Drosophila melanogaster: one gene and its partners. The protein of the gene in region 4 interacts with the protein of the main gene of each other region in a pairwise test. Each region holds a gene or a part of one and is shown on either strand. Other genes may lie near its edges. The genes, in order: CG13965, Ravus, CG8507 and AP-1mu.

Region 1 (6,879 bases), on a different chromosome or scaffold from region 4:
GCGCAGCTGCAGCGCATCATCGACCTGGAAATCAACCCCGTCACCGGATTGACCTCCAAGTGGGACTACGAGAACAAGAAGTGGAAGAACTAAGTGCGCTGTCGTTAAATAATTCCGCGATTGTGTGTGATTAAGTTAGCCGACGTCTATGTGTATTAAGTAAAAGCAAGATAGTCGAAATTAAAGTTATGGCTGCTGCCTAAATCAATCGATCTTGGGTCAGTCATCAGTTTCTGCTAGGAAACCAGCCTCAATGATCCGTTTTAAGAGCAATGATTGTTATTCGATTTATTAACAGACCTTTTAGTGTGTAGATTACAAACTTTTCGTTACTAAAATCGCCACAGGCATAGCCAATTTAATTACCACTTAGTGAGACCTTTTAGCACTCTTATGTCTCATGTTCCGGCTGTTCGATTTTTGAACCTCATGAACAAGGATCTGCAAGGCTTCCAAGGCATTTGTGTTCTTGGCAAATTCCCTTTCAAACATGCGGCCGAATCTTAAGATCAATGGTTTCAGTTCCGGCGTTATCATTGCTTTCTCTTTTTCGGTCCTAAAAAGGCGGATTTCAAAGGCATTGCCAGACATATAGGCGAACACTACTTACACAGCTCCCTTTTTTATCACCTCTTTCAGGATCTGGACAACCGTTTGAATGTCCCCAAATAATCTGTACTTGTCTTTGGTAGAAATTTCACCGTCAAAGAATAACTTCAGTTCGTTGTCAGTTATATTCTTCTTTCGACCCCATTCCTCCAGCTCTGCCGTCTCTTTTTGGTAGGCGCTCCGAGCTCTGCTGAAAAGAAGTCAGGCATTCCTTGATCTCAGAGCATTCATACTTGATGCAGATGATGCACCTACCTCCAGTTCGAAATATCCCTAGCTGTCTGCTTCATCTTTTTTAAATGTCCTGATCTGTGTTTGAAAGTCTTCTCTTCTTTCTCCTTTGCAACTGTCGCCTTTGGTTCGGCATCTCGGTTAAAGCTATTGAAAGCGAAAGGTTGGTGCCATTCGAAAGTGTATATATCCTTCAGCTCGATCGAATCTGTATCTTACTGTTTGTGCCAATCGTATCCATCGTATGGAGGCCTGTGCAGATTGTGTGCTCGGAGATGACGCTGTCTTTCCATCTGGGTGTGGTTCTGGTTACCTCTGCTGTCCACCTGGAGGAAGAGCAACAGCAGGCAATGGAGGATGAGGATCGCAGCGGGATAGAGCCTTGGTCCCATGGCTGTAGTTTGTGGAGTGACAAATTACTTATACGTTAAATCACAATTAAGTGGGCTGAGATGTATTATGGAACCAATCGATTTCCCATTAGTCACTTATCTCAAAATAGAAAAAAAAACAACATATTTTTAAAAGGGGGTTACTCATTCTAAAGAAAGGGTCAATTTATATTTATAAAATCCATTTCTCCTCATTTGAAATGTATATCGCTTGGATAGCAACAATTAATGCGATTCAATTTATTATTTACACATTCGAACAGTGGAAATGTTCAATTAAGCAGTGATCCATTGATATGATGAACAAGGCTTCCGCTTCCCATTGTCTGGCGAGATCCGAGGCATTATGGCCCTGTGAACGACTTTGCAACGGGCCATAAGTAATCGCGTGCAATCCCAACCTTGTCGGACATCAGATGGAGTTACGTTGTTTATGGTGGTGCCTCACACGTGCTGGCCAGTTTTTCCAGCGCTTTTCCTTCTCGATGTTGTGGTATCCATCGTGGCCCACGACATGTCTGGGCACTACTAGCTCCAGGGACAAAAAGAGGCACTGATGTGAAAATATAATATATACGATAAAAATGTTACTATTTCTTTATCTCTACTTACCAAGCAGAAAAAAATCAACCGCATTGGGAAACAATAGACTGGCGACTAATTCAATTCGTCATCTGTGAAGTTCTTGGTAAAACCACATAGGGTGTTCCCGAATTTCGACGGAATATATTAAAATTATTTAGTTTTTTATTCAATAATCTTCAGAGATTGGTCACAAAACGAAAGGGTATAATGGGATATACATATGAGCTAGGGACGTGGCGTGGTAAAGGCATCGTTCCAGCTTGCCCAATGCTTCTCCGTCTTCAGGCTGTGGAAGCCATCATGTGCTCTAACGTGTCGAGGTCCCTTTATATGGCTTCCTGGCTTCACAAATGGATCTCCTCCATTTTCAGGGTCAGGCGAGCCGTTCGGGTCTGGGTTGTCCGTGCTATTAACCATATCGGTGCTATTTGTTGGTGATTCTGTGACCTCCGACCCCGCTTCTGTGGTCTGAGTTAATTCTCCGATGGAACTGGCTTCTGTAACTGGAGACGTTTCGCCATCTGTTGGGGACGCTGGAGATGATTCAGCCGCAGGGGTTTCCTGAGCCTCGAGCGCGGCTACCAAGAATATAGCGATTCCAATCTAGAACAAAGAAACGTTCGATTATGTGCAATAATGAGGGAATGCCCCATTGGCACTCACCAGCTTCAGTTCAAGTTTCGCCATGCCTATCGTCACACCTGACACATAGTATGTGTACCTATACTGCGTCGAAACCAGAAGCGCCGACTGGGCAAAGCCACCTTTTATAGTCGCTGCGCAGGTGGAATCGATTGGAGCAGTTCTAAATTGATTGCGGGAATCGCTGCCTGGTTCTGCGGGCAGAACTAATTCTCTTAGTGACCAACTGATAGATGGCGATCTTTAATTTGCGAACGCAGTCCGGGAAATTCCGGCAGACGCATCCAACACCTGATGCCAATCGGGTTTTTCGAGAGAGATAGAGAGCTGATTGCTCTGGGGCTGTCTGTAATTGTTGGCTTACCGATTTCCATAATGGTGGGCGATTCTGGAGCTATATAAGTCAGCTATGGCCGGCAGAGAACAATCAGTTTTCGCTTGGCCCTTGCTAGTTGAACTCAGTCGGTTGGGATGTTCATCAAGTTGCTTCTAATTAGCCAGGTTGGTGCCAGATCTTGGCCAGGACAAAATGGCTCGAACTATGATTAACTTAACATACATTTTAATTCTAGCTGCTGGCGCTGAGTTACGCTCAGTTGTCGCTCGACGAGGCTAAAAAGCAAATCGATGCCTCGCTTTACAGCGAAGAGGAGACTACCGATGATACGCATCTGCCGGAGCCCCACCTGCCCCCCCAATATCAGCCTCATCATCCCCACAAGAAGGTGACCACCACCACTCCCGAGCCGGAAACCACAACTCCAAAGCCAGAAACCACCACGAAGCCCGCAATAGAGCAGGAGGGTGAGGCCACCGCTGCTCCCGATGACGGACTGGGTCAACTGGATGATGGCTTGCAACAAAACAATGATGGATCTGCGCTTCCAGAGTCCACCACTCCGGAACCGGAAACCACGACCCCTACGACGACCACCACCACAACGCCAAAGCCCCATAAGCATGAGCCCCACTTTCATCCCCATTCTTATCCGCATCCTCACCCCTATCCCTACCCCATTCAGTATCCCTACCCCCATCCAGGAGTGATATTCTCTGCCGCGGGACCTAAGCTTACTCCTCCATCGACCACACCGCCCACTGCCAAAGATGCGGACAAGGAATCGCCGGAGCTGTCTGGATATCCCTCCTATCCGACCTTCAGATCACCGTACTCGCCCTACCAACCCCAGGTGTTCCCTCAGCCTCGTAACTGGCCCAGCTTCCCAGGATACGGACCTCCCAGTCCCGGTTTCGGATACCCCCACAACCACAATCACGATCACGAAGAAGACTCCGGCGAAGATAAGCCCAAGGACAAGTCTGGTGAAAAGGATAAGGACGAGGATGTGGCTCTGAAGCCACCAGGATTTAGCTACCCGCAGGTCTATTTGATTCCCCGAAGACCAGTGATCTCTGTGCCCAGCTTTCCGCGTCCAGGAGGCGGATATGGTTCGCCCTACGGCTACGGACTCTACTAACACTCTCCGATAAATACTGTGAAAAATCTCCGAGTCCAGATAGTCAATAATATCTTAGTTTTATTTCAATCTTGAAATGTACTTCCTAACACAATAAACAACTTTTAGATTATATTTTCATGAGTTTTTAATATTTGCATATAATATTTAATGCTTTCGATCGTGTAAATCTGAGTACAAGGTTCTTCACTGAATGTGGGACTGCTTGGAGTTTTCTTTCGGTGCATTAAGAACTAGTAAGTAAGTTAAAGGCTCCTAGATTCGGGAAAATGATAATTGATGATTTGCGCATATGAGATTGAGTTATGGGCTTCTGATTTCCCTATCGTGTAATCCCCAGGCTGATAACCCCGGGCCCCGACGCTCTCACCTTGGTGATTTCCAGTCGAACGGGTTGGGATCGTGGTTGCATTTAATTGCAGCGCATTCCACCCAGTCAACTCATAGTTCTGTCGATCGTCGGAAGTTCGAGACGTGAGTGTCAGTCGAGATCTGCGAGATGTTGCCGCTCCAATTCGTTTTGCTGGGCTGTCTGTTCATCGCTCAGGGGGTAACTATTCATCGGTTTGTTCCACAATTTAGGCTTCAATGAGTTCTATATTTTCAGATATGCCACACTCTGCCGGATCCCAAGGTAAGTTTGCTAGCAAACAATTTAGATAGTATCTTCTTTGCAATATTCCATAATCCACAGCTAAGGGTGCCTCGTGAAACTATCAACATTCCCACGCATCTCTTCAAGCCAGTGAGTCCGAAATCGAGCAACAAACCTATTTCTAATAGATCATCCTTAAATGGCGGAAACAGCTCTGCCCTGGCCGAAGCAAATAACGATGTCGAGTTTCTAGAGGTGAGTCTCATCCAATACACTTAATATAAATGGAAATAAATATATATTTATTATCCTTGAAGAGATCTAGCGGTGAAGTGGAGGAGGTGACCGACACCTACGAAGAGGAGGACGTTCCACTCCGACCTATCCCCTTCCAACCTCGACCGTTTTATCCTCAGATCCCTCCCCGATCCAACGGTTTCCCCATTCGTGTAAGTGTTTTTATAAGTAGTTACACATAGTATTACAATCCGATTGACGATTGAACTATTTCAGCAACCCAACTATGACAATGCATTCCAAACCGATTACAATGTGGGTCCCAGAGGCAGCGGCTTCGACAACAGACCTTTTCCCAGTTCCCCGGATTTCCGTGGCAGAGGCATTCGACCAATTCCTGACTCCCCATTCCGCAATCAAAACTTAGGAACCTTTGTATCTCGACCGGTAATCTTGTGCAATCGTTTTCCTAACTAAAAAACTAATACACCTTCTCCAGGTACCTATGCCATCCAGTGGTTCCATTATCCCCCTTATCGCCGGTGGTTCCAGTATTCCGACTGGTAGAAGTGGTCCCCTTGGTTCCGGGGGCTCTTCTAACAACTTTTACCGGAGCGAATCCTATAGCTACACATCGGATGGAAGAGGACCTCCCCAAATCGAGCGGGATGTGTTCGACTCGCGGGATGGATTTGGATCATCTTATCGCAACTTTTAACACCTTTCCTAAGAGAAGCTGATGAATGAAAGTTCCGAGTTCTCAAAAACAACTAGTTAAGGCTGCTAGAGATTATACTGACTTGTCTGTGTGTAATGTAAAGATTCTTGGCATTACAAATAATCAGTTATTTTACTTTCCGCACGGTTTATTTATCAGACTAAATAACAATTGTATTGAATAGAAAGTCAGTAAAACTTTCAAAGCTATTGAAACCTGACAGCTTACAAATCTAAAAAAGGTATATTAAGGTATTCAATACCTTTGTAAAATGAATTCCACATTTCTTACGTCATACCTGCACTAAGTAGTAAACACTTACTAGCGTATTTATTATATGCTCATTGATTGTTAAATCAGCTGCAATATGTAATCAAATTTTAGCTTCCGGCGAGCGTGCTAATACAAAACATGAACTCTGGACTACTGGTTTTGATATTTGCAAGGCAGTTTCTGGAAATAATATATACGTTCGGACTATGTATCTGTAGTTATTTGGTTTAAACTTAAATGTACTTGAAACATGATATGTTTATTCAAATGAAATCAGAGTTGGTTAACTTGTCCAGCTTCTCATAGACATCCTTTTCGTTCTTAAAGTCATTAAACTGCTTGACCATCGCCGCGTTCCTGGCCAACCGACTGTCGGACCATGTGCTCATGTATTTCTCCACCTTCTGCTCTACGATTTTCAGAGTAGTTTCCAAGTTTCTTTCCAGGATCTGCTCCAGGTCCTCAACTCCGTGCTGTATGAATAGCTGAACGACAACCTCGTCAGCTTCCGATTCGAATTCTTTGCTGCCTGCAATCGAAATGATGCTTTCCAGTTCCTCAAGAGCATCCTCCAGTCTGTTCAGCTCGAATGAATCATCGAAGTCCAGGGTGTCCAAGGCCGCGACGAAGTCCTTAAGCTCCCTGAGAATGTGTCCCTTGGAGTTTGGTGGTAAAATGAGTTCGGCCTCGTCGATGACCAATTGAAAGACATGTCGTAGCTGTTCCATGGCGTCTGTTACCATTTGAAAGAGTTCATTGGACACTTCGAATTGTAACTGCCATTTGTTAATGAGAGGCGCTGCAAGCTGAAAGTTAAAGGTTTCTGTTGATTCCAAAAGGATATAAGCAAATCTAAGGATCTTACCGAAAGCTGGAGGGCAGCTACAGCGACTAGAAAAGTCCAAGTTAGTCTGCTGGCCATGATTTGAAACTGTATCTAGTCTCTATCGAACTGATTCCTTTTATATTCCCTCTCTTAAATTCACAATTTTTATACAAAATGGGAGAACGCCTCCTCTGTAATGAATACCCACTGATCGTGAGACAACGTATAGACTGTAATCAGACTTCAGAAATCGGTGAGCGTGATAAGAACGAGTGCTGCCCCTTCGTATATTA
Region 2 (7,537 bases), 3.7 Mb from region 4:
TTTTATTCTTAGCGTCGATTGATTGCTGGCCGGGAAACCGAATGCGGCAGTGGCTAAGATAAGCGCCAAAAGGCATAAACGGAATGGCCAAACATTTGACTGATAAGTTCCGCTGATAAGGGCATTCACAATGTGTACGAACTTTAAATGTTTTTTCTTTGCTTTCTTGCTAGTATTGTAATTTAAGAATTGGGAGAAGAAATTTCATTAAACATTGTTTCGATGGAAGCATAGTATAAACGAATGATAACGACAAATGTAATAAAATTAGTTTAATAAAATTGTATTAATATTTTCCGTACCTTTTGTGTTCACTGTTATTGACTGTTGTTTCGAAAAAATGTTTATTTTTTTCACACAAATAATATCTACACAAATACTGTCTACACAAATACTACTTACACAAAGACTATCTATGTATTTGGTTTAAAAAGATTGAGTTCTCTTTTAACTAACCTTAGTAACCCAATAAATACTTTGCTTAACTCTCAGATCGGCCCTCGCTGCCAAAAGCTTTTTCGCGAAGCTTTCCTTCGAAAGTGCGCGTCGGCAGTGCGACGGGTGACAACCCTGCCTGCAGTGGGCATGCAACTTGTTGCGCCGGTTTGCGCTTCTCAGTCTTCATTCCATTCTCGAATCCCCCGGACGTCGACCTCCGATCCGATCGTCTACTTGGTTTGTTATTGTTTCCTTTGGCTGCCTGGCATTCGGCTATTAAGTTGTTTTCGATCTTAAATACGTGGGTGCGTGGTATACAGTATTTATAAAATACTTACGCATAGTTGGCGTACGCCTATTAATTGGCGCATACTTCAGATTCGGCTGGTCTAATTAATCCGAATTTCACCGTGTGCTAATTTCGCCAACCGGTTTGTGGGCGATCTGCAATTGTTTTTATGATGACTTAAGATGGGCGATGACTTAAGACGACACACCCCGTCAAGTGCAGTGCTCGCTAGCATTGTGATTTGCATAATGACGACACTTGTTTTGAGAGTACTATAATCACCACTTGATCGTGGAATTCGGCTCGAAATCGGCGGTCGAGGCCTCGACCTCATACTCTGCCTTATTTTTGCCTTATTTTGGTCACAATCAGTTTTGACGTCAGTGTTTCTAAAATCAGTCTCAAAACCGAGCCAAATCGGTCGTTAGTATGTTTGTCACGACCCAAAAGTGAAATCTAAATGCAGAAGAAAGCCATTCAAATGCATTTTTCGGTGGTAAAACCTGAGTGTATGCATATTTTAATAATATTTTCTAAAAAGTGAAAAAGTATTTTTAGGAGAAAGCCGAATATTTAATCATTTTATAGTGAAGGAAGATATTAACTAAAATTCAAACTTCAGTAATCTTCAAAGGCCTAACTCAAGGTCTACTTATATAATATATAATTTGAAATTGCATATGACTAAAAACTATTTATAAATGAGTGTGGTATGCAAACACAAATGGGGTTTACTGAAGGATTTACTTGCTCGAATAACTTGACATTCACTATCTTAAATGGGAACGTTGATACAGCGATGGAAAAAATGATTTAGAAATAGAAGTGACGTTTTAGAAGCTCTTTTAATTAGGTGGGGTTTATCAGAATCGTGTTCTATCGAAATGCAAGATTTAATTTGTTAGCTCATTAAAAATATTATGAGGTCACTTTTTTAAGGCGCATATCAAATTAATGACATGTGTTTTGCTTATTAAAAATATACGAAATGCAGAAATTAGTTTTATGCTCGAGCAAGCTCCAAGTCTTGAAGTTTTTAATGAGATATGCTCTATTAAGAAGACGACTGATAAGCTTCAGTTTTTTATGGATCTTTCCACTAATAAGATCCCTTGTATTTATCTTATCGCACAGCTGAAATCGCTCTGAACAAACAACACCACTCATCACGATGCCAAATCCACTGTGGTTCGTCTTCTGGCTGCTGGTCTTCTGGTTCGTCTCCTTCTTCGTGGCATTCTTCTGCGCCTTTTTCTACATCTGGGTCTACGCATTTGCCTCCTGCATTCCCGCCCTGACGGTAAGTGGGTTTTTTTTCTATTTTGGGGAGCAGCATTTGAAGTTATATGGCGGGGTGAGTCAATTTACCTGCTTCACCTGCTGGTTGCATGAGGCACTTTCCTTATCGCGCCGTCAAGATGTTTAACCCATTAGTCATTTGGGGAACTTATCAGACCCACAACCGGAGCTTATGGGAAACCGCGATAGCTGGCCCCGATATGTAGACCCACCCACACCCATTGCCTGGAAAAACATTGCTAACCGATTTGTTTTCTTACTTTCGCAGGGCATATCGGACATTCTGCTCCAGGGAGTCCAGTTCCCGTTCTACTGCGGGAAAGCCATGTTAGAGGGCAAGCAAGCTTTTTAAGGGGGATATTTCCCCAATATCAATTAACTAAGTGCCTTACTGATAACTCTTGTTTTCAATCATTTTTTACAATTTTACAAATAAAGATTTATTAACTTATATTTATAATTACTGGCATTTTTTCAATTGATTGATTCTGATTGATTCAATCTGATATTACATGTTGTTTGTTCGTTACAGTTGATAAATTCGCCTGATGGAGTGATTTTTACTATCTTTACCTACAGAACATACATTAAACTATCATGCGATAAACTTTTTATCACATGGTATTGTACATGCGTAATATTTACCCTTCAGAGAATTCGCTTTGTATCATTCACAATAAGTAAATCACAATTGTTACCCACACACAAGAAGTGGTTTCCATTGATTACAGCTCTTCCGTGATATCATTCTCTGAGAAAATTCACAATTTATACTTTGCTGGCAAACCAAGGTCAGGAAAACACTTTTTGAAATGCAGTTAGTGAAATATTAAAGCGAACCTAATACCTTAATGAGCCCATTTATTGGGCACTTAAATTTCTAAACGGATGAAATGTAATGAAGCCATTTCATAGAACAAAAACACCATCAGATAGATTTAAAGAATAAATGCACGCCACACTACAACAACTAATAAATAACTTTATTAATGAAAATCAGTTAACAAAATTAAAAAATGAAAGCACTAGCATATATTCTAATTGCCGTATTGAGCACGGTTTGGAACCGATTCCAAAGTCCAGGTGAATTTATTTGGTGGTAGAAGCCACTGTCGCATTCTGCTGACCACTGCCTGAGGCTTCAGCTGCTCCAGACCTGGAGTTTCCCGCGAGATCCGGAAGTCCGGCGACCTCAGAGAGCGCCTCCTGTTCGCAAAGAGCACGCAACTCGAGCTCCCCAATGAGCTGCATTACCCGGATCTTACCCTCGGTGGCCAGTTTGGGCGGCAAGTTCTTGACGGTGGCACATATGCTGTCGAAGAACAGCTCCAATGAGTCGCGCGGTGGCGTTATAGGTGACAATGGTTGCAGTTGATAAGATTGCAGCGGGCGGGCAGCATAGGAGGGCGTCGTGTGTATAGGCGTTATGGTGGCCTTGGAATTGATCTCCTGAGCTTGGCACATCCCACTGAGTGGAGTACTGTGCACTGGAACTTTTTTAATGGTGATCCTGCATGGCGGAGCTACTGTTGCTGTTGCTGAGGATGTGGGATAGGCGGAGACAGTGGTCGGAAGACTTTGAGGCCCCTCGTTGATGGTCACGTGTAGTGGCAGATAATCCAGCATGCCAGAATTCTGTGAGTCGGTCTCCGAAGTGCGGCGCTGCTGCTTAATGACGGGCTCCGTTTCGAGATCATTTTGTGCTTCCAGTTCTTGAGTCCGCTTCTCATCGTCCTCGCAGTCGCCCTCTGTTTCGTCAAGTTCTCCCTCCTCCTCATCTTCTGTCTCGTCGTCTTGGGGATCTGTTCCGTATTGTAGTAGACCCTCCTCGTCCTCGGTATCCTCCCACTTCATCGCACCGGAGCTGGATCCATTGAAGCTCGAATTGTTTGCCTTGGCTGGCAATGATTTTCTTTGTGCATTTTCCGAGTGCTTAATGCTACCCTCGTGCTTTCCCAGATCAGATCTCTTGCAGCTGAGCCTGCACTCGCACACCGCGCAGAACACGAAGTGCGGATCCGTCTCATCCGGGAGCAACCACGGATATATCGCCTGGTACTCCGGCTTTGTCTTGGGTCGAGGATATTTCAGCAGGGCGCACGGCCGGCGTGGCCTGTATTCGGAGCGTAGGGCATCTCTGGGCGGCGAATATAGTCAGTGAACATAAGACCCTGGTCTCTTACTTTGGTATACTCACAGTTTTTCCTGAGTTAACTGGAGGTTTGACATTTGGGTAGTCTTTTCCAAAATATAAACAAAATCCAGTGAGGTATGACCGTGCGCACATGCATAGAAATACCGCATAACCCGTTTTGCACATGCTGTAAGAGTTGTCACCCACACCGGTTGTTTGTTTCTACACACTTTATTTTAAATATTCAACGATATATGAATCATATGCTAATGCATGTAATTTCTTTATATGCTTTCTAAGCATAATGTTCATGTAGTTATTAAATAAATAATTGCAGTTATACTATGAACAGTACGTTTTAAGACCGTTCTCAATAAAGTGACCAGTCCAGTCCCTCAGTTGCATTTTATGTATTTTTTGAACTTCCTTAGTATATGGTCCTTAGCCCGCCGGTTTAATGCAACAGTACGGTCACATTGGCCATCGCCTTGACAGCGATTCTGAGTTTTCGCTTGCGATTATTTTTATTTTTTTAGTTTATAACCGTATACTGTGATCTCCCAAAAGCTAACAAATATTAGAGCAAAGTGCCTGGATAACCAGTATCTCGTGATGGATCGGGATTCGAGCATGCAGGCGAAAAACCTAGATGCTCAATGCAACCCAGACCTCAAAATGGCGTCTGCAAATTCAGAAACTTTAGCGTCGGCAACGCACGAGCTGAAAATTATGGACGTAGAGGGTGGTGCTCTGGTGGATCCGGATCACATCGAGGAAGTGGAGACCTCCATGGTCATCGTGGTGGATGATGACGATGGGGATGTGGCCATGGTGGTGGAGGAGGACAAGCACCCGATGCGGGATGACCCGTGTATTGAGGACATCATGGATGACGAACATGCTCCATTGGTGGCCGAGCTACAGTCCGCTCTAAATAACCCAGACGACAAACAGGCCAGCGAGGATCCCCTCCTGGAAGACCAGGAACGTGAACCCGATGCCATGTCCACTAAAACTGAACCCTCCAGCGATGCGGAGAGCTCCCATTCGTACCACGATCCCATGGGCCTGCTGGAGAGGATTGAAATCCATGATCCGGGAGACAGCCAGGATGACGACGACGAGGATGACGAAAGCAGCAATGGCGGTGGCGTTGACGGAGGCATGCGCCGCAAGATGCCCCGCGCACAGCGCTGGCTCCTCTGGATGAAGCGTTGGCCCTGGATCCTACACGAGGACTCCGATGGCACCTTAGCGTTCTGCCTTTACTGCAACATATCCATTAACGTGAACAACCGCTCTAGACACATCCAACAGCACAACGTGTCGCTCTCCCACCAGGAACGCGAGTGCAACTATCTGGCATTCAAGAAAAGTGAGGAGGAAACTCGAGGAGCGTAAGTGTCACAGTTTTAAAGATTACAAAAAAGAGTACAGAAATCTAAAATTCGGAGAAATCAAGTTAATTAATCCGCCGTATAAAGTAAAAGCTCAACTCTTCAAATGCCTTTCACTTTGTAAAGGGTTTGTACCGAAATCCAGAAAGCCCACTGTAGTGTGAAAAAAACTGCCAACTTAATGAAGGGAGCACTGCTCCGAGTCCGCATTAATTTTCCAACGTGTAGCAATTGTTTGACACAAAGAAACTGGTGTATGATAGGCTTGGTCGCGGTTCAGAATAGATTTTACATATATTACACTCCCTGCTTTCAATGAGGGTAGCTCTACTCGTAATGTTAGTAAGATTTGCACCTTTAAAAAACGAAATACCGAAATCATATTGAGATCACCGAAAGTTTGCGAACACTTATTAACTCCCAATTATCCGTAGAATCAGCGACAACGAAATCAAGCACGAATTCGGCACCAAGAGCTATGTGGCCGCCATGAAGCAAAAACGAATCTCCGAGACCGAGGCATTTAACAACTTCAACTGGCTGCGTTGGCTCCGTTGGCATCCTTGGCTTGAACGTTCCATGCCCACAGGGACCATCGGGACATGTCGCATCTGCAGCGTGCGAATGAACGTGGAGTTTGTCTATTTGCGCAAGCGCCACGAAACCACCAAAGGTCACATGGAGGCACTGCGCAACCTAGATTCCGATAAGCGGAGTCGGAAGCGAAAGAGGAGCAAGAGCAACAGCGTGACCAATAGCGGCGGGGATGAGGCCGAGCGAGAGAAGGAATCTGAACCAGAAGTTGGGCCGGAGGATGCTCAGGACACCCCTGTGGTTATGATGAACGGCGATGTGGACTCAGGCGACGACCCTGGCAAGTGGTGTGCACTGATTCCGGACACCAATCCACAGCAATGCCGATGTACGCTCTGCAACTGCACAATGGCGATTACCAGCTTCCTACGGCACTGTAAAACCAGAGCTCATTGTCACATGCTATCGACACCCGCTGAAAAGGGGTGAGTTGACACTCCTACAGAACGTAAATAGCACCTGTTCTTTAACTGCTTTCACTTTTTTACCTCAGCTCTTCAGATATTCGCGGCATTTGGGCCGTGTTCGCCGACATGCATCCTTGGTTGATTGCTGATCCCGAAGACCCCAGCATTGGGTACTGCAGCGTCTGTCGCAAGCGATTCATGTATGGAAACTCAGAGATCAAGCGCAAGAATCACGAAAAATCCGAGAAGCATACCTTGGCTTTGGCCAGCGCCAAGGCAGGCATCGAAGTTGGTTCGGCTGACGGCAGAGGCGGCGATAACATGGATGAAGAGGAAGCGGCGGCAAGTGATCAAGCCCAGTCATCGCAGACCGATGACAGCGAAGATAATGACGATGACAATTGGTCCGAGATCCAAAAACTCGGAAAAGGGTATGTTGCTTAAAATATTTTTAATTTTTACTTTAATAATAATAATTTCGTATAGTTTTGCTCATAAGTCCTCTAGCGAGCCAAGAAAGGCCACGGTTCGCGCTGGGGTACGTTTTTACCCGTGGCTTTGCTACTCCAAGGACCGAAAGACTCAGATTTGCAAATTCTGCCGCGTGCGCTTTCACAACGAAGCGGCAAAGGCGCGGCATGAGTTGAGTGCCCGGCATGTAAAGCTGGTAAAGCAGTTCAAAATGCGGCAAGCGAAACTGCACCAGGGCACAAACACGCAAACTAAACATAATGCGCAGGATGATGAAGAATCACAGGAACAGGACGAGGAATATGGAGAAGAAGAGGAGGACGCAGAAGAAGATTCCCAAAGCAACTTCGACTTGGGCACCGTGCAGGCAAGAAAGACTGCTCGAGCGGACAATAAGCTTTTTGTCAAGCCCATTCCGGCAACCATGAAGGGCAAGGTTATGGTGTGGAAGGGCCGCTTCCCGTGGCTCTCCTACAAAAAGAACGAGCAGCGTGGAAACTATGCTTGG
Region 3 (7,871 bases), 230 kb from region 4:
ACCACGCACCGCACACACCACTTACACCATACCACATACCACACACAATCCCCACTTTATCCACATATAGAGTTACATGCATAACGAGACACTTGTATTTAGGAACTGACTGGATAAGTCGCACCACGATTGCAATTACGATTACGAGTATATTTTGCATAGGTTATATATTCTATTCGAGCCGATCAGATCTTTCTAGTCGCACAGAGACACGATACCACGTACTGCATACATATATACATATATACTAATCCAAACACACCACGGAAACTAACCCTAAGTTTGCACATAATCGCATCTGAAACGTAACGGCATACATATCAAATGTTTACATACTTACATACATACTGCATGATCCATCAGCCATTCCATAACCAGATATCGAAACGAAATCGAACGAAGCTATACACTAATATCTCTAATGAAAGCCAAAGTACCTACTTAAAGACATAGAATCTGTATCTACTACGATATGATAACAAAATATTTACATGGATCCATCAACGTAAGACTTCTCCGTGATCGCCACATAGAGAGCATCGCGAGGCAACCGGAAACGGAAGTGGCCGCAATTGGCCGAAAATGGCCGATGCCTCCCCCTGACTATCATTGCTGTTTAACTATTTACCACCTAACCAGAATAATACCGATTCGGACGATTCGCCCCGATCGCCATATAAGCTAATGTATAAAATACTCAAGGCCAACAACACCGACAGCCCACAGTCCGTAAAACAGATGAAAGAAGAAATTCGCAATGGCATTGTGTTTTTTGTATTATATTAAATATGTATGTACAATTTTACACTTATTTGCTGAACTTTATTGAGCAGCTTGAACTTTCTCAGTAGTAGCCAGATCGATCAGTCAGAGAGTTAGCCTAAGTCAGAATCACGTTTAAGTACAATTGCATTCGCATTCATCGTGTGAGCCAAGTAACGCGTACATCGAAGGATATTTGAAGAGCATATGGTGCACTTTTTGCAGTAGCGTAGATGGGATATAAGTTGCCTGTTTTTAAAACACCTACCTATCTATCTATATGTATGTATGGATGGATGTATCGTACGTACGTATAACATAACACAGACCGTTCCCAATTGTGGTATTCGTTATTTAAATAGTTAGTTGGCTTGTGCGTAGAGTCGTAGGCGTAGGAGTTGAACAAATTGTTTCGCATAGTTTGCTGTTGTTTGATATTAAGAGGATAAGTTTTTTTAAATTTTACCAATCGGACTAAGTGAATGATATGCTTTAAACGCTGCTATACCAATTAGCCAAATAGAGGGGCATGTAATTACATTAATTATGATGTTGCTCATCAAACTGGTAACTTTGGCTGCTGGTCCGCCGTCCAGCAGTGCCGGACAAATAAAAGTAGAACAGCCGCCAACACAAATCAGATGGGGGGACATTACCCACTAGATCTTAACAAAAACAAAATAAATTGTTGAATTCGAGTAGAGAAATTATTAATCAAGATTATGATAGCGGACCAATTTGCGTATAAGATTTGTGAAATCAATTTAGATAAATTATCTTGGTTTGCCATAGACCTGGACGATTACGACGATATGCCAGCCTTAGTTGAGAATTCTAGTTAGCCTGCCTGTGCTTTGGGTTCTGCTTGGTGTTTTACTAGGTTTAGGTACGTTTAATTGTGAACAGCAAACTGGGTTTTGACTATTCAGTATGTGCCGTATATTGGATAACATTCTCTGCATACAGTACACTTCACTAATGCGTAAAGTTACTTAGTTGCATACGAATTATAATAACAATGAATTGTAATCAAAACATAATACATTTTAGGTGCATGATTTAAAATACAACGAATAAATATATTTACACCGAAATTCTTTTCTAATTTTTTCTTACAAGTATATACACACACTATATAGATCTATATACATAGATATATAAATATATTAGTTGTATACATATTAAATTAGATTTTACAAGATTCGAAAACCGAATATTTAATTATCGCTTACATTCAATTAATACGCAACTCACAAATGAGCGCCCACTGCTAATAATATTATTATTAATAATCGCCTGAGCGCCAAGTTGTAAATATAAATGATCAACAAGTTACATATAAAAATTATATCCGATTTTTTGAAGGGCCGGCATCATAATAATAACAAGCAAAATATAAACAGTTTCGTGGCCTACTTAAAAGATCTTATTGTTGAAGATTTATCTTAATAACACTTATCGCGCAAATGAGATTAAGTACATGCAAAATAATTTAAATAAAAATTTAACTATGACAAATCAAAAAATGAAAAAATTGAATTATTTGCCGACCATAAATGGTCTCTAATAAACTGGGTAAAAATCTCGGACATTACACTTAAATTACAAATTGTTTGTTTGCGGCCGCTACACATTATCAATGTTATTATCCTCGTGATCGTCGACCAGCGTGAATCCTTCATCTTCAGCTACACAGCTTTTGCTCTTGCTTTTGCTGCTGGAATCGCTTTCATCTAAATTTTCTTTTTTCGATGGTGTGGTGGGAGCTTCCTGCTTTTCCTCTAGCTCTTGGACGCCCGAAACGTCTGGAATTCGCTGTAGCGACTCCTTTGGAACATTTCTCACGTTAATTACATTTAGCAGCATCTTTAAGTTGTCGCCCGATATGGAGTCGCCTTCGGGCGCCCGTGCATTAATGGACTGGTGAATCGTTGGTGTCCCTTGTGGCGCTGGCTTGTGTAAAAGTGACGCCCATGCTCGGGGGCTTAAAATGTATTTAAAGCACAGCTTTATGGTGTAACCCACTAAAAACACCAAAAGGACTGGTGCAAGGAGGTTATACGGGAAGGATAATCCGGCTATGGGTAAATATGGTAATTAAGTGGTAAGTGGTAATTATTGACTGTGCGAATTCTTGGTTAAATACTTACAGGACAGTTTAGTCATAGTTACCGACACCTTTTCTATCATGATTTCCAACTGCTTGATAAATATGTTATTCATGTACATAAAGAACACTTGATCTGGCATGCAAATGGAAATGCTGATTTTTGCGGATTTTCTGAATGGAAACGATCATCAATCGACTTATTTAATTATATGTTATGGTCTTACTTGATCATTTCTATCTTCTTAGTTTTTGGTGAGGCTTGGTATATGTAGCCTAACAGTCGACCAAACCAGGACGATTCAGGCTCATGGTGATGATTTACGACCTCTATCATCCTATCGATGTCTAATTCCTAATTATAAACATATAATGAGCACAATTTCACACACTTTCAGGCTAGACCTACTCTGTTGCATTCTAAATAAGTCTGAATATATCCGCACAGAAACACGCCTCCTAGTACAATTGAAATTAGTCCGACACGGAAACGTTTGTGCACAATGACGACAAGTGCAATTGCTAATGTTGCATATAGGATAAATTTCACCTAGGAATGAGAAAACCCATTAAATAGCAAATAGTCAAGTTTCCATAAAAAGGCGCAACAGGTACCTCGGTCGTTTGCGTCAGTTCAATTACATCCTTGAAAATATCCACCAATAAGGAGAAAAAGCCGTGTCGGACGTATGAGCATCCGGATCTTCCATTAAACAAAGGAGCCTCCTCGGCACTCTCCAATATCTTAGTCAGCAAAACGTCCAAATCCCGAGCATCCTGCACCCTCTCCAGTTCATCCAGTTGCGATGGGATCAGGGAGAAGAGCAGCGATCGCTTATGGACCGCCGACATAACATCGTACTAATTACACAAAAGTTACACACATATGACGTCATGTCGCCAACTTTGGTCTAAACAGCGATCATACCTGAAAACGCTTGCGCTGGAACAGCAGATTGACGAACTTCTTGAAGTATGTGAGTGCCACGGCATCCTCCATGGCCACTGGAGACACATCTGGACACGTAGGACACTGGCACAATTCACCGGGCTGATTGATATCGTTAACCAGGTCCGACCAGGCGGGATCCGGACTCAGCCAGGACTCATCGTTGCCGCTCTGACAGCATACCCTGTGCAATACCAACAGGAAACAACTGACCGCTGCCTCCGTTCTCATTGTCCTGGTTTCTCAATGTAATCACTCCTAGGTAGTAAGCACTCGATAATAATTATAATTCAGCGCAATTTCGTGGTAAGGCGGCTGATGCAAATTGGCAGTGTGACCAAGTCCAGTTAGCAACATCACAGCGTCACGTCAGTGCTGCAATATCTACTTATCACTTCAGGAAAATGTAGCTTTATATTTATTAGACAAACATGCTTTTATGATTTTTCTTCACTTCTACTGCAAATTGAATTATTTTTATTAAACATCTTTATCAAATAAATCAAACAAATTGTTGTAAATTGACCAAGATCAAAAATCGTAACTGCGAAAAACAAAGCATTAAAATAAAATAAAAGCTAGACTGTCAGCACCAAAGCTTTATGCGATCGCTAGATGGCCACACTGCGTGTTGTGAATAACTGTTTAGCCAGGTCAGCACTGCACCAATAATTGCAAGCTTTAAAACCGAAATAAAAACCACGAGGAAAATGGTTAGGTCAGCTCTCGTTGTTGCAGCCATCGCACTTTCCGTACTTATTGCACTGCAGGGCGTGGATGCCGACAAAAAGCAGAGCAAGAAGTACAGCAAGGAGGCCAACGACCCGCATTTTCAGCAAGTAAAGCAGGAGAAGTATGATCCGGATTTTAAGAGCATCCAGCGGCCATTTCGCATGGCCAAGTTGAATCTCGTGTGGGCCAAGGCGCAGAATGTAAGTGGACACCATAAGATATCTCATATTTAACCGTACTAACCTCGGTTACAGCGCTTAACAGAGCCCAAGCTCAAGTCACTGTACATGGAACTCAAGATCCACGATAAGGAGGAGATCGCTTGGAAGCAGCTCAACTCGCAGCACAAGGACAAAGACGGGCTGAAGGCCGACGAACTGCGCCGCAAGCTCATTGGCATCATGAGCAGCTACGATCTGCTAGAGCATTTTGACGACACTCAGGATACGGAGAAGCTTAAGCCCTACAAGGTACGTATCTAAATCATCTTTCCTAAGAGCAAGAGTTTCTCTACATCCAAGTTAACTTTAAGAAATTCCACGACGCCGAGGAGCGACACAGAAACAAGAGTCTTTTCAAGGACAAGAAACTCAACCGACTTTGGGAGAAGGCCGAGATTTCCGGATTTACTGCAGAGGAATTGAAATCCTTGAAACAGGAGTTTGACCATCACCAGGATAAAGTGGATGTGTACTACAGCTTGCTGGAAAACATTGGCACCGTAGACACCGACAAGCATGAAAGTGAGTTTGGCTAAAAACAGCACGAAAAGCATCAATTAATTTCATTGATTATTCTCGTTAGATGCTATTAACACGGAAGACTTGGACACCTACAATCTGATTTCGAATGATGTCAATGAGAACGACATCAAAACCCATGCGCAAAACGTGAAGAGTTTCGAGAACGACCTTAACACTCTGCGAGGACATCACACGGGCATCAAGGATCACTACGATAGGCTGGAACGCCTGGTGTCCTCCGGTCCACACAGTCAGGACTTCATTGAACCCAAGGTCCAGGGTCTATGGCGAGTGGCCCAGGCTAGCAATTTTACGGTTAAAGAACTGGAGTCCATTAAAACCGAATTGCATCACTTCGAAAGTCGCCTATTAAAGCTGCGTCACTTGCATGCCGAGCATGCTTTGCAAAAGGAGAAATACAAGGTATATGTTTCTTAATATCAATCAAGTTTGTAAGCCAACTAACAATTATTTATAGGGCGAAAAAGTGAAGGACAAAAGCAGCCGCTTTGAGGAAATGGAGGATCAGCTGAAGAAGCAAACTCGCAAAGTGGAGAAGCTCCAGGAGAACATTGAAAAAACCATCTTCAAGCACACCGAGCTTTAATAATTTGAAAGTGAAACACTGAAAGTGCCAAGCGAATAAATTAGATTTAATTGCAACTGTTTGTGTAACGCACAAAAATATTCATTCTTGCTGCTATTCAGCATAGATATAATTTTGATACCAAATATCATTTGAACATAAATAAAATCTCAAGTTTAATTTTGAACTATATACAATCTATTTTGACCTTTAAAAAATTCAATGTGGAAAAAATAAATTTGTAATATATTCAAAGTACAATATAGGGTTAAGAATAAACCGTTAAAAAAAACGATAAAATTAGTGTGACCATATGATAGCAGGCACAAAACGCGTATTTCCCTCCACCCAGTAGGACCGCACCTAGTATGACCGCATGCCAGTCGCATTATTGTTGTTGTCGTTTCGTTTGGTGGGCCAAAAAACAAGAAAATATTAGCTAAGCGAAAAGTTTAAAAAGTTAATATATATATGTGCAGCGGTCGGTGCCAGCGCTTTATGGGTACATAGTGCATATGTACACACACCGACATGGGCATGGTGGAGGCGTCGACGTCGGAACTGCACCTGGAGGCCCCAAATTCGTACACGTACCTCCTGGCGACCGTCAGCCTGACGCTCACTTTCATCGTTATGCTGGGCGCTTGTCTCTGCTGCAAGAAGCGGATCCCTAAGTAAGTCCTCCCCAATACCCAGAGGATCAGAGGATCCACATCGTTTCGATGGCTCTAGCGGGAACAGGGCGGTGCAGGCCAGAGAGAGAGTGAAAGTGGGTCTCTTTCTCCAACACTACGCCGCCCAGTTCCAGTTGGATGCACTCATGTCGCTCGCCAATCTCTCTATACCCTCTAACTCCACAGAAATGACTTGATGGGCCTGGAGGGCATGGTCAAGCTGAAGAATCCGGATGAGGTCATTGTGGTGACCAATCTGGTGGGCAACAGCGAGTCCCAGGCGGAGCTGAATGCCTCCACGGTGTCCAATGCGGACTCGGAAAAGCGGTAAGTCCCCATTTCTTTGCTGTCTACATAACTGAGCTGGAAATAACGCATCCTTAACCAATTTCCAGGTCGAGCACTGCAGCCCATCGCAGTTTGCCTGACATTCCCGTGGCCGAGAGCAATGATAATGGGTCCGAACTATATGAAACTGTGGCGGACAAGCAAATGGTAGATGGTCGCAATGCCCGTAGCCAAAGTCGTAAGTTGTATTTTAAACCCATAAAATAAGCTCATACTTAATACCGATTTTAATAACACCCACAGCACAGCCAAGCATGAAGAAACAGACCAGCGTGTCGCAGCACAGCTCTATTAGCCAGGCGGATGATGTAAGTTCGCCGTACTCTCGGGTCAAGGGTCTGCCGCACGACTACGCCAAGGTGCGGGGCACCGAACATCCCTATGCCCAGCTGAATGCCCCATCCACGTCTCATGCGGCCAACCACGGCTCTACAGCAGCAGCTGCGGCGGCGGCGGTGGTGGCCGGATCCTCCAGCGAAGGTATAGATCCAATGCACCGCAGTTCACAGCACAGCGAAGGCTCCAGAGAGCACAATGATTCAGCGCCGGCGCAGGCTGAGATTCCAGCTGCCTCTGCGATTGCAGGCATGATTTCGGCTAGCCAAGATCTTCCCTACATGACGCCGCCCATCGCCAATCCACATTTTAGCGGGGACTCACAAGACTCGTCGAGTAAGTCTGTAAAAATGGAGATAATGTCAAATCGCTAAATGTTTTATTCCACAGAGGGATACACAAGCATTAGTGTGAGGGAGCCGCTGGCCAACATTTTGGCCCAACAGCCACCTGGGAAGCCCTCGAACAGGAACCCTACATTATCGCGTGATGTTAATGACTCTCACTACGCCACTGTGTCCGATGATTCTGGTGAGTCACAAGAGAAACACCACTTCTCTCCAGGGCAATTTCAATGTTATACGTATCTTGAGTTTAATAATATACAAAATTTAATACATATATTTAGTAATAC
Region 4 (7,803 bases):
TATGCCACACCCGAGGATTGTGAGTCGGCCATGAAGCATATGGATGGCGGGCAGATAGATGGCCAGGAGATTACGGTATCCCCGGTTGTCTTAGTAAAACAGAGGCCGCCCATGCGTCGTCCTTCGCCACCGATGCGCCGTCCGCAAAACAACCGCTGGCGATCCCCACCCCAGTTCAATAGGTTCAACAATCGTGGAGGAGGTGGTGGCGGCGGCGGCGGACGTCGTCAGTCACCCATGAGGAACCGGCGTTCACCACGGCGTCGCTCCCGCTCCCCCATTCGTCGTCGACGCCGCAGCAATAGCAGTGACAGCTCTCGTTAGAGGACACTGATCGACTCCTAGTTTCTACAATTGACACGATTATTGCACTTTTCTTTATATTATAATCCAAATAATAAAGGTGAGCAAATACCACACACATAGAGAGTTAGCTTAGTGTATAAACGAGCACTCAGCATCATCGAGAGGACATCCCAGCGGATGATGAAGCTTGAAAAAGCAGCTACGTTTCTTGATGGTCAAATGGGATTTGGGGAGAGTAGCCGTTGGTTTAGGGGTTCTTATTCCTATGAGATCACCACCGCAGAATTCGAAAACTTCGTGTTTATTGCGCAGCAATGTTTTGATGCCGCCGCACTCGGATTTAATGCCACTCAGCTCCTCCTTGGTGAGAGCCTGGGCAATCTCTCTCATGGGCAGACGACCAGACCATTTATCTTCGTTAGAGTCCAGAATCAGTTTGAAGATCTTAAACACTAGACCATCAATTATGGTCTTATCCACCTGCGTGCAATTTCGAACGCTCTCCTCCTTCTCGCGCAGCTTAATTTTGGCATCTCCGGTCTTATACTTTCTTAGCTCTTCTTGGACAAAGTACTCCAGATCTTCAATAGCCTTTGAGGCTTTTCTCTTAATTCCCAGCAGAGCCAATCGCTTGGTGCTTGGTATTTTTAGACGGTCTTGTAGGATCTCATAGCCACATTCATGAGAGACCTGAGTGACGTATTGAAAGAAATCCTGGTAGGCACTTATCTTCGTATTCCGCCTGCGAAACTTGGCTCCCGACAGTTCAAAGGGACAGCAGGGCAGTAGGAAATAGTTAATGTTCAAACGACCAGCCAAAACCGGTAGCCAAGGAGACAACTCGTCCGAATGGTTACCAATCAACCAATCCACACCCGGAAAATCCAAGCGGAAGCTGTTGGGCTCCACGGCCTTTTCAATGAGGCTCCTTTGGGTATCCGGTGGATAGAGGGACCATAGCTTTCGCTTTCTTATATCGTAGCCATACCCTTTGTAGCCCTCGGCGTTGAGGACATGAACTAACAGACCGTTTCCACAACCCAAATCAGCGAAGGCAGTGGGCTCCGATTGTGTTTGACTCCACAAAACTATAAGATAAGCAGCGATAGCCAAATCCTCGTAAATGAACTTGAGCGGATCCGTGGACTCCTGTGCGGTCTTCCAGTGTTCCAGCAGGCGTTGTGAATGCCTCTGTTTCAACTCCTTGTACAGATCATTGTACTTTTCCACATTAACCAAACCTAGTGACTTCACCTTTGCTTCATCCTGCTTGGACTGAGACCAGCTTAAGAGCTTTGGTCTGAGCACAAATTCCAACCAGTTGGTGTTCGATTTGGACTTCAGTTTAAACTCTCCTCCAAGGAGGCCCACGGAAAAGCCTTCAATGCTATCGCTGGCAAATTGGCACTCATAGAGACAATTCTCAAAATCTGTAATTAGGAATATAATAAGAATTGTCTAAGAAGTAAGTAATATTGTGATTATCCTCACCCACAATTCCGGTGCCTAGGATGTTTTCCGCCAGTTTCTTGGACAGCAGTTTGAATCCGATCGTAAATCCTGTGCACGTGCGCTGGCTTGGATCCTCTTTTAGAGACATCGCCAACTCCTCCGCACTGGATTCACACACTCGCCCATTCTGCTGCTTTGTCACTTGGGTAATGACTACCTCGAATATCTTTTTATTCAAAGCATGATAGTTTTTGATCAGTATTCCAATCGCTTGCCAGAATTGTGCTTCTTCTACTGCTGCCATGGTGTCGAAAGCGAAAGGTGGCTCAAGGAAAACGAAAATATTAAGTATACGCACGATGGGTAGCTGCGTCTATCGATATTTGTTTGGCGCGTATTTAAAACGAACCCTTGCTAACATATTATCCTGCGTTAGCCATCGTTATTATTAAACGGATATTAATTCTTGGGGTTTATTTTAAGTTATTAATGAGAAAAATGTATCAGATAAAGAAAACTATATTGTAAATACATACAGTAGTATAACCTTCAATATGAAAATGTAGCCTCAACATCGGGATAAATCAATTAAAATGGAAATGAAAATAATAATAATTTAATAAAATCCATTAGAAATTTTTTTTGGAGATCTCGATAGCCAATCACTTAAACATCGATTGATTGAGACTTATCGATATGGTATTGTGTTGCGTAATCAGCTGGGAAACACGCAGCTGAATCTTCAAAATTACCTGTTGCATTTAATAGATTAGACACAAATTATATACCATGTCATTCCTGCGAAAATCGGTGCACCTATTGGGTTCTGTGGCGAGGCGCCAACGACACCTGAAAGTGGTCAGTACTTGGAGTGATCAGAGGGGTATGTTGTTATTTGTTTGGTTTTACCCATGACAGATTGAAGGAGCGATCTCGACAGCTGCGCGGGACTTCAGCTCAAAGCCATCGGAAGATTACGCCAATTTCCCCGGTGCCAAGGCTCCATTTGTCAGCAAATTGAACCTCATTCAACCGGAAGACTATGCGCCAATACCAATTTACCGGGTGATGGACCAGGATGGCTATATAGCGGATGAGACCCAGGATCCCCAGCTGGGCCGTGAGGTTGTGGAGAAAATGTTTCGCGATATGGTGCTGCTGAACACCATGGACAAAATCCTGTACGAATCCCAGCGACAGGGCAGAATCTCATTCTACATGACCAATTTCGGCGAGGAGGCTTCACACATTGGCAGTGCCGCCGCCTTGGAGATGCGGGATCTCATCTACGGGCAGTATCGTGAAGCGGGTGTTCTGGTTTGGCGTGGCTTCCGTATCGACCAGTTTATCGATCAGTGCTACGGCAACACGGACGACTTGGGTCGCGGCAAGCAGATGCCCGTCCACTACGGCTCAAGGGAACTTAACTTTGTCACCATCTCCAGTCCGCTTTGTGAGTTAATATAGTCTTATTTATTTGATGAGAGAATGCTTATCCAGTTTCTCTGTTGTATGGCAGCCACCCAAATGCCCCAGGCCGTTGGTGCCGCCTACGCCATGAAATTGAGGCCAAACAACGATGCCTGTGTGGTCTGTTACTTTGGTGAGGGAGCTGCTTCCGAGGGAGATGCACATGCTGCCTTTAACTTTGCTGCCACTTTGGGTTGTCCGGCTATCCTCTTCTGGTGAGTAACTTTAAGATACATATTATTTTGATAAGATAACCTATTTTGGATGTATTTCTTATCTTATCAAAAATACCATTCAAATAAGTTTCTTCATGACGTACCTTTCTCCACAGTCGAAACAACGGCTTTGCCATATCCACACCATCGCATGAACAGTACAAGGGCGATGGAATCGCCGGTCGCGGACCTATGGGCTATGGAATTACTACCATTCGAGTGGATGGCACAGACGTCTTCGCCGTCTATAATGCGATGAAGGCTGCCAGGGAGTATGTCCTCAAGGAGAACAAGCCGGTGGTGTTCGAGGCACTGGCCTATCGAGTGGGTCACCATTCCACCTCAGATGATAGTACAGCCTACCGACCAGCGGAGGAGATCGAGATTTGGAACTCGGTGGAGCACCCAATATCCAAGCTTAAGCGCTACATGGTGCACAAAGGCTGGTTTGACGAGACTGTCGAAAACGAATATGTCAAGGACATAAGGAAAAAGGTTTTGAAGCAGATCGCAGTGTCCGAGAAGAAACTCAAGCCCAACTGGCGTGAGATGTTCGAAGGCGTCTACGCGGAGATGCCGGATCATTTGATTGAGCAGCGTAGCGAGCTGGAAAAACATATCGAGGCCCACAAGGAGCACTATCCCTTGAAGGACTTTGAGAAATAGATTCCAGATAGGTGCCATAAAGATGCTAACAAATCAGAAATCAAAACGAACCGAGAGACTCGATCGAAAGTGCATTTATTATGATTAAGCAATAGGCAAACAGTTTTTTGTGGGTTCAACCCGTTTGTTATGACTCATCTGTACAGGTGGGTCGGTGGATATGTGAAATTAGACACTTTGGGTTTTTGGGTTTTCTCTGACCAACGAAGAGGATAAACTTGGTTGCATCCTAGGTCTTAATTTGCACATACAAAGTGACCCACTCTGGTGCAGGTGTTATGAAAAGGTGTTAAAATTTATTAAATTTGATTTACATACAATATACATATACTGAAACAATACGAATACAAATATATACTTTTGACTTAACGCAACGCATCGCAGACAAAAACGCGGGTGGAGATGAAGCTACCTGTTGCAGGATGACTCGCTGAAGCTTGGCTGGAATGATGCAGGAACGGGAGTTGCCCCTTTCAATTGGTGCGTAGCTGATAGTCGCCGTTCTGCGTGATGTACCGCACCCATGGCAGCGCCTGATAGCCGCTCTTCTCGATGATCTTCAGATAGCGCACCTGGATGCCCGACGTGGTAAAGTAGGGAATCTCGAAGCGCACCTGAATTGGCGGCTTGCCCTCCGTATTGTCCTCGCTTTCCACGCTCGGCAGACCGAAATGTGCCCGCATTAGATACTCCTTGCCACCCGGGAACGATTTGATCGTCCAGATGATTGCGTTCTGCTCCGGTGCGTACTTGCAGCTTCCAATGGTGGTCTTGAACTTGGGTGAGTCCGCGTCGGCGGGCACTGGTATGACGATTTCCACGTTGTTGGCCGTCGATCTTCGCTTGAACTGAGACTTCGCCTTAATCATGTACTCCACACGGGAGTGGGCATGCCGCTCGATCACTGATTCGATCCAAATCAGGGGTTTGACCTGTCAACAGGGGTTTAGTTAGTCTTGCATTTTGGTGCTAAGTACATAAAAATACTCACATGCGTGTTCAGACGATAGGACATCAGTTCGAACTCGCCGTCCGGAGGAATGAACGAGATTGTCCGGTCATTCTCGAAGCGTGACAACCGCACGCACTGGTGGAACTTGACGTCCTCCAGCTCTACGGACTTTGACTTGCCGCGGCCCGTGCTCTCGAACAGAACCTTGTCGTTGAGACCCAGTCGCAGCTCTGGCATTCCCGACAAGTAGACGCGCATCTTAATGGCGCCCACGATCTCGCTGCGCAGCACATTGCCATTGGCGTTTGCGAGAAGATTCACCGACTCGATAACGTCCAGGAACACCTCGTTCTTGCGATACTTAATGCCCTCGGACCGCCAGGATACTGCATTGGTCACGGCCACCGGGATGCGGGGCTGTAGCTCCAGCTTATGACCCTCCTGCGTAATGTATTCCTGTAGAATTTTCGAGTCGGTGGTCTGCGGGTAGCCAAAGTCGAGCAATTCATCCAGCAGCTCGTAGATGATCACGAAATTGTCCCGAATGGACTCCTCCTCCAGCTCCTTGAAGTATTCCACAAAGACCTGCGCGATCTTGTGCAGAAAGACGAAGACCAGAGCGATATTAACGTTCTTATTGCGCGGCGTCGTGGATACGATATAAAGATTGTTCGTTTTGATGTAGGCAAATGTAGTCTCCGCCGTCTGAAGGATCGGAGTGATTAGGCCCTCCTCCTCGCGCTCCATCAGCAATGGCATGAATTTGTCGATCACGGCCATGTCGATGTTGTCACCGCGGTAGTTCCGCGATATCAGCACCTTGCCCTTCACGTCCAGAACGAAAATGGCCGACGAAGACATGTCTCTTGGTTCCCAGCAGCTGCCACTTGTCCCAGGTGTAAAATTCCCAATTGGATCGAGTGGGAGGTCGCTTCGATGGTTCTACTGCTCGCGGCAGGCGTTGCGCGTGGAAGTTGGCAACTGTCGCGAGGTGGCGATGAGTGGGCTAGGTCTATCAATGGGCTGGATTTACATATTCCGTTTCGTAGACTGGAAAATGCGAATGAAAACTCCGGAATTTCTTACGTCGCCTTTTCTGCTGCTTCTTTTTCTTATTAGTTGGCCCACCAGTGCTGTGAAATGTTCACATCAGGTGTTGGGCAGTGTGGCCAGGTGAGATTGGTCTACTGCTGATTAACTAGCGAATTAAGCTTAAAGGAAATGAAAAATGTGCAAGGTGTAACATCTTAAGGTTTCTGTTTTTAAATAAATACCTTTTAAATTATTTTCATTTTCCCATTGGTACCTTTAAATTCAAATCATAAATATATTGGAGAATGTAATCTAGCATCACTATTGTGCCATCCGGCATTTGTGGCCATCCGCAGTACGGCCACACTGCTAGCCCAGACGCTGCTTTTGTGGAATTGTTAATTATTTATTTCGGCGAGCATGCAAATGAACCCGAGCGTCACAATCGAGCGCAAACGCGTCGACTGCAGTGTCCTGCCAAAGGGATGGCAGCGCGACGAGGTCCGAAAGTCCGGCAGCAGCGCCAATAACAACGCCAGCAGCAACAACAACAGCAGTGCCACAGCCAGCAGCAACAACAACAATAACAAGGTGGATGTTTTCTACTACAGGTAAAGAAGAAGAGCAGAATTACTATATAGACTACTATATACCTAAAATCGGAACACTGCACGCTGTTTAATCGGATAAACGTTTATAATCACTTTCACTACCTTTCTGTTATTACATCCGCATAACCACACACACACACACCATATACACCACACACACGCATACGCCTATGTATACACACGCACACGAACTACCACCTAACCCACCAAAAATATCCATCCACCGCCGTGTCTGTTCAGCAGTCCCACAGGAAAAAGGGCGGAGGGAAAGCCACAGGACATTGCAATCCCTGATTTCCAGCCTGGCAAAATGCCGCACTGCGCCCTGCCCTCGCCCTCCATTTCGCTGTACCGCTGCAGCGCCATGCCGCTGCCTATAGCAAGCGGGGGCGGTAATGGGGCCACCAGCGGATCGGCGGCCAATGCCCTCAAGCGCAAGTTCGCCCGGAGTCAAGGAGGCAATGCTGCAGGAGCAGCAGGAGCTGCTCCTCCGGCAGCGACCGCCTCGTCAGCAGCAACAGCGACAGCAGCATCTGCTTCACCATCAACGGCCAATCGCCAGCAGCAACAGATCGAACTCAGGTAGAGCCAAGTGGATGAGCACTTGACTCTTGCATGTCAGCGTGTCATGTCTTGTTTGCCAGGACGCAAGGTCTACAGCCTGCGGCAATTAAAAAGCATCAAATGAAAAAATACCCAAAGAAACACACAATTGGCAAAACAATTCGTAGTTGTCTTCAAAAACGCTGTAGCTCTGTGCCACCTGAGATTTATGTTCCACCATCTCTGCATGCTAAAGCTTTACTTTACGCTTTGTCTAATGTGCTGTTCGGTGTTTTAGCTTTTTGAAGGCGTTTCTCTAATACATTTCCAATCTTTAATCCCTTACAGCCGAGCCCTGCGCACTGATGTCTCCCTGGTGCCTCCCATTCGACAGACTGCCTCGATCTTCAAGCAACCGGTGACGGTGATTCGCAACCATAAACAGGATCCCGCCAAAGCGAAGAATGAACCCAAGCATGGCACTCGGGAGAAGCCGAAACAGCTGTTCTGGGAGAAGCGACTGGAACGACTACGCGCCTGCCACGACAGTGGCGAG

What was found.
Region 1: the proteins of AP-1mu (region 4) and CG13965 interact in a two-hybrid assay, tested with the Drosophila melanogaster proteins (one large-scale study listed by BioGRID).
Region 2: the proteins of AP-1mu (region 4) and Ravus interact in a two-hybrid assay, tested with the Drosophila melanogaster proteins (one large-scale study listed by BioGRID).
Region 3: the proteins of AP-1mu (region 4) and CG8507 interact in a two-hybrid assay, tested with the Drosophila melanogaster proteins (one large-scale study listed by BioGRID).

What each region holds. Positions count from the first base shown.
Region 1 is NT_033779.5:19,959,795-19,966,673, forward strand, and holds CG13965 (uncharacterized protein), read right to left. Parts: upstream 2,559-6,879; 5' UTR 2,505-2,558; coding exon 2,481-2,504; intron 2,421-2,480; coding exon 2,043-2,420; 3' UTR 1,964-2,042; downstream 1-1,963. Other genes in the region: COX4 (cytochrome c oxidase subunit 4), read left to right, coding at 1-93; CG34051 (uncharacterized protein), read right to left, coding at 370-556, 611-799, 865-987, 1,060-1,232; CG42866 (uncharacterized protein), read right to left, coding at 1,645-1,785, 1,845-1,868; CG16772 (uncharacterized protein), read left to right, coding at 2,931-2,960, 3,032-3,937; CG10680 (uncharacterized protein), read left to right, coding at 4,437-4,487, 4,545-4,571, 4,632-4,787, 4,850-4,981, 5,046-5,216, 5,269-5,487; OS9 (Olfactory-specific 9), read right to left, coding at 6,024-6,566, 6,626-6,682.
Region 2 is NT_033777.3:13,259,744-13,267,280, forward strand, and holds Ravus (ravus), read right to left. Parts: upstream 4,319-7,537; 5' UTR 4,256-4,318; coding exon 4,224-4,255; intron 4,164-4,223; coding exon 3,116-4,163; 3' UTR 2,990-3,115; downstream 1-2,989. Other genes in the region: CG11686 (uncharacterized protein), read left to right, coding at 1,899-2,027, 2,295-2,378; Su(var)3-7 (suppressor of variegation 3-7), read left to right, coding at 4,773-5,557, 5,992-6,576, 6,645-6,989, 7,045-7,537.
Region 3 is NT_033777.3:9,787,042-9,794,912, forward strand, and holds CG8507 (uncharacterized protein), read left to right. Parts: upstream 1-4,441; 5' UTR 4,442-4,528; coding exon 4,529-4,750; intron 4,751-4,804; coding exon 4,805-5,020; intron 5,021-5,082; coding exon 5,083-5,293; intron 5,294-5,354; coding exon 5,355-5,716; intron 5,717-5,771; coding exon 5,772-5,900; 3' UTR 5,901-6,057; downstream 6,058-7,871. Other genes in the region: CG12945 (uncharacterized protein), read right to left, coding at 2,389-2,840, 2,913-3,043, 3,097-3,224, 3,279-3,419, 3,485-3,730, 3,798-4,049; CG8516 (uncharacterized protein), read left to right, coding at 6,411-6,553, 6,740-6,880, 6,949-7,079, 7,145-7,573, 7,628-7,768.
Region 4 is NT_033777.3:9,553,328-9,561,130, forward strand, and holds AP-1mu (adaptor protein complex 1, mu subunit), read right to left. Parts: upstream 6,199-7,803; 5' UTR 5,923-6,198; coding exon 5,101-5,922; intron 5,042-5,100; coding exon 4,583-5,041; 3' UTR 4,385-4,582; downstream 1-4,384. Other genes in the region: RnpS1 (RNA-binding protein S1), read left to right, coding at 1-324; CG9386 (uncharacterized protein), read right to left, coding at 436-1,736, 1,798-2,062; BckdhA (branched chain keto acid dehydrogenase E1 subunit alpha), read left to right, coding at 2,548-2,616, 2,677-3,211, 3,278-3,443, 3,560-4,109; MBD-like (Methyl-CpG binding domain protein-like), read left to right, coding at 6,514-6,704, 6,945-7,286, 7,596-7,803.